Linked DNA regions of Arabidopsis thaliana. The protein of the gene in region 1 interacts with the protein of each later gene in a pairwise test. Each region holds a gene or a part of one and is shown in the gene's direction. Other genes may lie near its edges.

Region 1 (4,946 bases):
CAAACTCCAGCTCTAGTCTTAGTCATTGGGTCCAAGAGTTGCAGAGTTGAAGCTCTTGACATGACCCAAATGGAACTTACTGTTTCAGTTTGGATCTGATTTTTCTTTGGATCAGGAGAACGGTGTTATCCCCGGAATCAAAGTGGACAAGGGTTTGGTTGATCTAGCAGGGACCAACGGCGAGACCACTACTCAAGGTCTAGACTCGCTTGGTGCACGGTGTCAGCAGTATTACGAGGCAGGAGCCCGGTTTGCTAAATGGCGTGCATTCTTCAAGATTGGGGCCACCGAGCCAAGCGTTCTCTCCATCCAAGAGGACGCCAGGGTGCTAGCCCGCTATGCCATCATCTGCCAGGAGAATGGACTTGTCCCGATCGTCGAGCCAGAGGTGCTGACAGGTGGGAGCCACGACATCAAGAAATGTGCGGCGGTGACTGAGACGGTTCTTGCTGCCGTGTTCAAGGCCTTGAACTACCACCATGTCCTCCTCGAAGGCACTCTGCTTAAACCTAACATGGTCACTCCCGGCTCCGACAGCCCAAAGGTATCCAAACTAGATGTTGCAATCCGGTTTTGTTTTGGAGTCGTTGTTTTATTGGTCTTATATTTTGAAACTGAAACCACAACCAAACTGTATCGGTGTGATGCTATTTTATTTAAATTTACATGCCCGGTCCTTACGTAACCACAATCAAATGAATCACAGAGACATCAATACCTCGAAATGCAACGTTAATTTGCTACAAAACGCTAAAATAGTTCTTCTTACAGGTTGCACCGGAACTAATTGCGGAATACACGGTGACTGCTCTGCGCCGCACAGTCCCACCAGCTATTCCGGGAATCGTGTTCCTCTCAGGCATACAGCGCGAAGAGCAAGCGACACTAAATCTAAACGCAATGAACAAGCTTGATGTGTTGAAGCCATGGACGCTCACTTTCTCTTTTGGCGGAGCCCTCCAGCAAAGTGCTATCAAGGCTTGGGCCGGTAAGCCCGAGAACGTAGCCAAAGCTCAGGCCAAGTTCCTGACCAGGTGCAAGGCTAACAAGGACGCTACCCTCGGGAAATACACCGGCTGGGCTTCTGGTGACTCGGCCGCTTTCGAGAACTTGGTTGTGATAGGATACAGGTACTAGGATCCTTTGAGAACGGGCGTTTGCCTTTGATGCGGTTTGAGTAGATATCTAATGTTTCGTGTGTGTTTTAACTGTTTGAATGTTCAATTTTGCAGACTGCTAATAATTGTTATTTTCCGGTTACTGTCAAACTATCCATGTGAAATTCACGTTTTGAAAAGCTAATAATAATGTTTTTATTGTATGAGAATAAATTTAGAAAACTAAAAATTGTTAAGGACATATTACAAGATATCTCCTCTTTTCGCTTTGCTCTAGTGCACATTGTTAGCCAATTCAAACACACTTGAAGTGCTTAATGACACTGAAATTGAATATGATCTTGTCCGGAAACACAGCGGCTGAAGCTATCAACCTTCTTATAAGCAATGGGCGTACTTGAGGGAAACATCATATTTTTAAACCTTGTCTCAGTAAGCTAACACACACCCCTTGTGATTACTTATCCATGTTTATCCACAAGAATGCAGTTGGATTGAGATATTTTCTTCTTTGTTGAAATCAGGCCTCAAGGTGTTCATGTGGTCTGCAAAAAAATTCCCAAAAATAAAGATAGTGACATCTGAAATCGATAATGGATTAGACGAAGAGTTTCGTGTTATTCCTTGGTATGGGCGGGTTTGGGGACAGATATTTTGGCACAGACGAGGACTAGGCCACTGTGGTCCTGCAGCATTAGGTGTCCCTTCCATGTCCTGCATTACATTTTATTGATGGATTCATCACCCTATCTACTACAACGGCTACACAAACTATGAAGAGTTTTGTTTACTAATAAATGCCCAAGTGAGGGGTCGATCGAACCCGGGACACGTTTTTCAGTTTACCATATAGAATTATCCTTGGAACCCTTGATACTCCATAAAACATCACCACCTCTGTTGTCATCTCATGAATCCAGGTTCAAACCTAGTCTCTCTCTCCCTAGTGGGAGGTATATGGCCACTGGGCCAATGATGACAAAATGCAAAAAAAATAAAATACATTTGGGTTCATTATCTAAAATATCTCTTGTGTTTGTAAGTTTTGGTTGCACACTCGTGTGGTTGAAGTGTGTGTGAGAGGTACTATACAATACACTCTGCTTTTGTTTTGTACCTATCTCTTTCTCTTCTCCACATATCCAAGACTTTGGGGATAAAGCTGAGATCATTGGTTGCCATTTGGTTGTGTAGAAGCAATCACCCATTTGCTTTATCCGAGGTTGATAAATTTCCTCGGGTTCTCCTTCTGACACGTATGACAAATTCTAATAGTATATTCCTCGTAGATATTACCTATATATTCTCAATAGTTGCAGGTACTTAAGGCTTTGTCTTGGCATCCTCGTCCTCTTCAGCAAAACTCGTCTCTCTTGCACTCCAAAAAGCAACCATGTCTGCTTTTGTCGGCAAATACGCAGGTAAATTCATACACTTAACATGCACTCTTCTTGTTGAATAACTTAGGTTCTCTCTCTTTAATGCGCTTTCTGTGTTCAGATGAGCTGATAAAGACGGCTAAGTACATTGCCACACCGGGAAAGGGCATTTTGGCAGCAGACGAGAGCACGGGAACTATTGGGAAACGATTCGCCAGCATCAATGTTGAGAACATTGAGTCCAACCGCCAAGCTCTCCGTGAGCTCCTCTTCACGTCCCCTGGCACTTTCCCTTGCCTCTCCGGTGTTATCCTCTTCGAGGAAACCCTCTACCAGAAAACCACGGATGGCAAACCCTTCGTTGAGCTCCTCATGGTCCGTCCCTGAAAAACCAAACTCCAGCACTAGTCTTAATCATTAATCATTGGGTTCAAGAGTTGCAAAATGGAACTTACTATTTCAATTTGGATTCTGATTCCTTTTTGTATCAGGAAAACGGAGTTATCCCTGGAATCAAAGTGGACAAGGGTGTGGTTGATCTAGCAGGAACCAATGGCGAGACCACTACTCAGGGTCTAGATTCACTTGGTGCACGTTGCCAGGAGTATTACAAGGCAGGAGCTCGGTTTGCAAAATGGCGTGCAGTCCTCAAGATTGGGGCCACCGAGCCAAGCGAGCTCTCTATCCAAGAGAACGCCAAGGGGCTAGCCCGCTATGCCATCATCTGCCAGGAGAATGGACTCGTCCCAATCGTCGAGCCAGAGGTACTGACCGACGGGAGCCATGACATCAAGAAATGTGCAGCGGTGACCGAGACCGTTCTTGCTGCCGTGTACAAGGCCTTGAACGACCACCATGTCCTCCTCGAAGGCACTCTGCTTAAACCGAACATGGTCACTCCCGGCTCTGACAGCCCAAAGGTAACGAAATTAAGGATTATAGATCGTTTGATGCTACTCCTTATGGAACCACAATCAAATGAATCACAGAGACATAACTCTAAAACTATATTTCTAACAGGTTGCACCGGAAGTGATAGCGGAATACACAGTGACTGCTCTGCGCCGCACAGTCCCACCTGCAGTTCCAGGAATCGTGTTCCTCTCAGGCGGACAGAGTGAAGAGGAAGCAACACTAAATCTGAACGCAATGAACAAGCTCGATGTGTTGAAGCCATGGACTCTCACTTTCTCATTTGGCCGAGCCCTCCAACAAAGCACTCTCAAGGCTTGGGCAGGTAAGACAGAGAATGTAGCCAAAGCTCAGGCCACTTTCCTGACCAGGTGCAAGGGTAACTCGGACGCTACCCTCGGGAAATACACCGGCGGGGCTTCTGGTGACTCGGCCGCCTCTGAGAGCTTGTATGAGGAAGGATACAAGTATTAGGAGCGTTTAAATACGGGTGTCGCCTTTTATACGATTTGAATATATGTCAAATGTTTCGTAGGCGTTTAACTGTTTAAATTTTTATCGATTTGGTTTAGCGTCTGTGTAATGTTCTTAAACTGTGTTGTGTTTTTTGTGATGGTTTCTATAATATTTTCGCGCCATGACATAACGGTTCGTTCAAAAGTTCGGTAATATCCCCTAAGTGGGTCCCACAAGGAAGTCTATCTTCTTCTTAATCACCAAAAAAAAGAAGTCATTTTCCGAAGGAGAGATATTTTTACTTGATATTTTATAATTGTAAGAATGATCTAAAACTAGTTTGGTTATAAATCCAAATCTTTGAACTATTTTTGATAACATTGTTCATGAATTAGGGATCAGGCGGATGCTCTTACAAAATGGATTAGGGCTTGTGCAACATTATCCTGCTTATTATGTGAACAAAATTGAAGAAACATTTATGCTTAAAAGTTATCCGAATAACAATCATAATATTAATGTTAATAATCGAAGAGAACAAAAAAAAGGGCGTTTATTTAGGCTGGAAAGTCGAAGTCATTGTTATTGAGACAGCACATGCTCATGTGATGAGGGTGGCTCAAGGGTCCACGTGATCCACTCGCTTCTGTCTTAAGCCTCTCTTCTTCTTATTCTTCTTCATAATTTCACAAATCGTTAATATAAAAACAAACAACCAAAACACAAAACAAATCACGCATCGTTATCGCGTGTGACTCCAAATGCTCCAGTCCCAATCGGTCATTATCCTATAAAATAGATTATATTCGAGTTGTATGTTAATAAACAATCACAACATTAAAAAAATGATAAAACTCACATACTCTAACCAACCTCTAATACATACAGTACGTCAGATAGAGTCGTTATGGAAATATCCTACATGCATGGACCAGAGGAATGAGGTACAAAACATCAATAAAAATCCAGATAAAATCGCAGTAGCCTAACATGAGGGCATGACAAGCTTTAGAAAACAATAATTTCAATTACCTCAAACTTCCTTTTATCTGCTCACAATCGAAGATCTTATACTCACATA
Region 2 (4,491 bases), on another chromosome or scaffold:
CGGCAACATGAAAACCAGAAGAAGTATCAAACAAAAAAGATCCACCTTCCAGTTTATCATCCTTGCCCTGCAAAATCATCAAAAGATCGGTCCAAGGCTTAAAACTCTAAATTAATATTCCAACTAAACAATTGCTACATAATGCCATGAATTCCCCCTCCAATATAAGTATTACGTACAATGACAAACACCTCAAAAGCTCAATGATATAAGCATCTAGTATCAAGTATCAAATTTCCACATGACATAAAGGAATAAACAAGAGAAGCTAGCTACCACACAGTTTATATACTCGATTACATTACACATACACCAAAAAAATTGTCAAGTAAAAAAATTCTTAAGACAATAACTCCATCAATCTACACTCAATCTCAAAATCATTGCCAATTAGGTAAGAAGTCAACAAAATTAAGCAATTGCAAACAAAGGAGGACCAAGTAAGTAACACAATCTAGAAGACAACAAATAAGTAAAGTTTCCAAAAACCTCCAATGCCAGAAAACACCAAAACTAGCTAAATATCAAAAACTACAGAGTGGATTACTCGAGAAAAGACTTACTCTCTAGAGAGAACAGGTATGATCTCGAACAAAACGAGCTGCAATAGATTACAAGAGAAAGCGAAGACGACACTGAAAATGATTTGAACCAAAGCTCGTTTCTCTTCATACTCTTTGTATAATCTCCGATTAAGAAACCATAAACCTGCCCATCCTAAGAGACTTAGTGAAGCTATCACCACCGTGCCTTCGTATATCGCCCATCCGTAACTCATCGTCGCCAAATTCCAGATCTCTCTTACTTCTCGAGAAAAAACCTCAGATCTGCAAAAACCTCATGGCGATTCAACACCAGAGCTTCTGTTGTACGATTCGATTCGAATTTGATCATTTATGAAACAATTAAAAAAAAAGTATTTAAGAATACCTTATTTATTTTTGGTTAGGGTTTATTTGGTTTAAACTCTAATCAACAACAACCTCATCAACTTCATCATCACCACCACCACCATGCGACTCAACTCGAACTCGCAGAGAGGAAGGCGTTATTAAACGCTAACCAACCATTGAGCTACGGAGTAATGTGAAAGAAACTGCACAACAATAGTGTTTCTATCCTTTTTTTTTGTTTATAGGTTTTGGCGTCTAGTCTAGTGTTGATGATAATTTTAACTCCATTTTCCGACATGTTTTCTTATCTGGTCGATTGATTTTTTTGTTTTTCTTTCACTTTTACATATATACACGAAAAATGATCGATTCATTAAAATTGTTGTTTAGAAGGCTTGTCCAATCTTACACGTGTTACCATATATAAATTTGCGGGAAGTGGGAAGGGAAAGATCGGGATATCGATAGTTCATGATAAATCTTATAATTACGGGATCAAGATAAATATTTTTTTTATCATTAATAAAAAATTAATATTTGTGTACATTTTCTTATTGTTAGATAGAAAATTTAATATTATCATAAATGTAAAGAACTTGCTAATCAAGTTATGATTTTTGTATAAATAATCCTATTAGCTAATGAATAAATAGAGAAAACCTGTATTATTGCTAAAGTTTCCTCCAAACTTATCAGACACCAATCGATGATGTATAATATACCATTTTTCATAACGTGATTCTATTATTTTTACCATTCACAATATTTATCATACATTTATATTTGATTTTCATGTGTATGTTATATTTGATGCATGTGGAAAAAATAATTCAAAATTAAAAAAACTACAAAACGTTTTTCTTATTATATCACAATTATTTAACAAAAAAAAGTTTTGAGCTATTTTGTTTATAATGTTTTTATGCTTTTCAATCCTACATTTCACTATCAGAAAAATGAGGCCAAGTTATAAAAATAAAAATAAAAACTAAACCCAATAAGCCCATTAAGGCCCATAAGTCAATACAGCAAAAACAGCTCATCTTTGCTAAAACGTAGATTACTGATTTAATCTACCGGAATCGAAAGGCAATACCAAACTTCCGGTGAACCGGAATCGGATCCATTTGACTTGCCGTAGAAATTAGGAAATTGATTACAGTGTTCTTCGAGAATGGAGAAGAAGGAGATGGAGAAGTTGTGCCAAAGGTGCAAACAAAGCTACACAGATCTTTCAAACGAAACTTCCTCTTGCCGTTTTCATCCTTCCTTCTTCGTTTGTCGTCGTCACGATGACCAGAAAAGGTTATGTCTCCTACAAACCCTAAATCTATTCACTAATGAAGAATCTCACATCCCAAGCAGCTTGATTCGCTAATTTATAATGGCAAAGCACAAATTGTTGAGATGGGTTTTGAAAGCCATCCACTTTATTGTATTAAGGTTCTGGATCTATAGCTAATTTAGTTAGATACCTTAGATTCTTTGTAGCCAATAATTTTGAAGTGATAGATGATCATGATCTCAGTTTAATGGCTATTTGTGGGTCAAAGGTCATGTTTTGGTTGATTTGAAACTAGCTCTTAGCCTTCTTTGCAGATAATTAGCTACTGTTGTATTTGCCTTGCCCATTTCAAACTCTTTAGGCATAATCATGAAGCTGTTTAATGATTGTGGTCACTCTTAAACGTCGAATACTCTTAACCACTGAGGATAAAAAATTATCTCGACAAGTTTTCAAGCTGTCTAGTGGCCTACACTTTGTTCTGCTAGTTGAAAAAATGGTTTAGTCGACGGTTAATAGCATAAATAAAGAGTGGTGAAAAATACAGTTTAGAGATTTATCATCTGATTCTATGTTGCGTGTTTTATCTTGGTAATAAACTTTGGACTAGGAAGGAACGTAGGTGTCTCTGTTCCGTTATTGGCTCCTTTGGTTATTTACTTACTTCCTCTGTTTGTGATTCTCTCTGTTCCATGCATTGTAGTTACCCACATAGCATAGACTTAACTATCTTTTGTTGAGCTTTTATCGTTATGTGCAACGAATGAGTTTATTTTGGTGTTTATGGTTGTTGGTTTTGGCATTCATATTCTTGCTGGTACCTGATATTTGTTATTTCATTTTAATTTTAAGGTGTTTCGAAACTGAATATATATTTATTCCAAACCATGTTTAATCGACTTGAGTATGATGCATCTGTTTGATTTCTACTTTTTACTAAGAAGTGGAATTAACTAGAACTTGTTTTTTTTAATCAATAAATGAAGGTACTATGAATTGAAACCAGATGATCCACCGTATGCTGCCAAGTTCTATGATTGTTGCGGGGCAGAGGATCCTAATGCACCAGGTTGTGTCACAAACCCTCACATTTCATATGATGACTGATGTATGAGTGAGAGCTCTCATAAGCCTTTTTTTTTCCATAAAAACATCATGTAAATAATCTTAAATTATTGTAGCCTTCTTAGGAGTAAAAGACTTAGCTTGTGATCTCTCTGCTGGGTACTGTCTTGAACCACTTCTTGCATTGCACACAGCTACAGAGTGAGCTGTTGTGTTACAGCTTTTGTCGGTTTTGTGAATAGGAGTGTCAGAATCATTTGACGTGAGAAAATTCCGGAACGACTAACGATTTTATGTTTATTTGTAAGGAATGTTCTTGTTTCTATGGTTGCTTTAAAAAGAGTCAAAACTTTATATTCTTTTTATGAACACCAACAACAAAAATCTAAATCAGACATATAGGTTAATTAACTAATGCAAGTAAATGTGGAAAAATTTACAAAACAAATTTCAGAAGATCTAGAAGTAATCTTGAGACAGTACTTATGAGAAATAATCTTGCACTATCATCCCTCTTTTCTATGAACACCAAGATTTCTGATGCACTTATAATTTCTTATTTTGTGTCAACAATAGATATCCAAACAAAGGTAGAGAAAACATTTGAATGTGGACAAATTATAATTATATTAATAAATTGACTGTCTTTAAAGTTTAAACTAAGTTTAGCAGATCTCATTAAGAGAAAAAAAAAATCAACATGATTGAGTAGAGCACATGAAGTCCACATGACACAACTCCAAGATCTCAAACTCTCTGGTCTTAAATCAGATCGTTAGAGAGATTTATTCTCACCTCCATTATTAAATAAAGCCAACTTGTTTTGGTCCACTTCACTCACAGCTTTTATTATTCTTCTTTTTTCTTTTGTCATCATAATATATTACTCCCCAAAAAAAAAAAAAGCAAAAGCGGTGAGAAAGAAAGGAGAGAGAGAGGGTGACCACTATGGAGACAGCGCAACCCATTACTCATTATTAGTCTCTCCTACCATTCTTTTGCCTAAAGTTCAAGACTTTGTGTTCTTCTAACAAGACCCTTAATCGTAAGTTCAAGACTTTGTGCTGTTGTAGTCCTGTAAGAAGAAGAAGAAGAAGACCATGAAATCGATCTGACTTCTCGCAGCAATGCTGAGGATTTAGCTGCATTTATTACTCTTTTTTTGTCAATTCAATTTCTCTTTTCTTTGAAGCTCTTCTCTTGCAACAACAATGGCATCTAGAACCAAGTGAGTACTTTTAGTCTTTC

Evidence for each region.
Region 2: the proteins of FBA5 (region 1) and AT1G65000 interact in a two-hybrid assay, tested with the Arabidopsis thaliana proteins (one large-scale study listed by BioGRID).

The regions. Positions count from the first base shown.
Region 1 is NC_003075.7:13,389,055-13,394,000, forward strand, and holds FBA5 (Aldolase superfamily protein), read left to right. Parts: upstream 1-1,699; 5' UTR 1,700-2,511; coding exon 2,512-2,539; intron 2,540-2,618; coding exon 2,619-2,872; intron 2,873-2,988; coding exon 2,989-3,417; intron 3,418-3,517; coding exon 3,518-3,883; 3' UTR 3,884-4,211; downstream 4,212-4,946. Other genes in the region: FBA7 (Aldolase superfamily protein), read left to right, coding at 116-544, 772-1,130, 1,476-1,482. UniProt on the Arabidopsis thaliana protein: Fructose-bisphosphate aldolase that plays a key role in glycolysis and gluconeogenesis.
Region 2 is NC_003070.9:24,145,089-24,149,579, forward strand, and holds AT1G65000 (F-box only protein), read left to right. Parts: upstream 1-1,836; 5' UTR 1,837-2,067; coding exon 2,068-2,198; intron 2,199-3,164; coding exon 3,165-3,285; 3' UTR 3,286-3,713; downstream 3,714-4,491. Other genes in the region: GTG1 (GPCR-type G protein 1), read right to left, coding at 1-67, 564-778; AT1G65010 (WEB family protein (DUF827)), read left to right, coding at 4,455-4,471.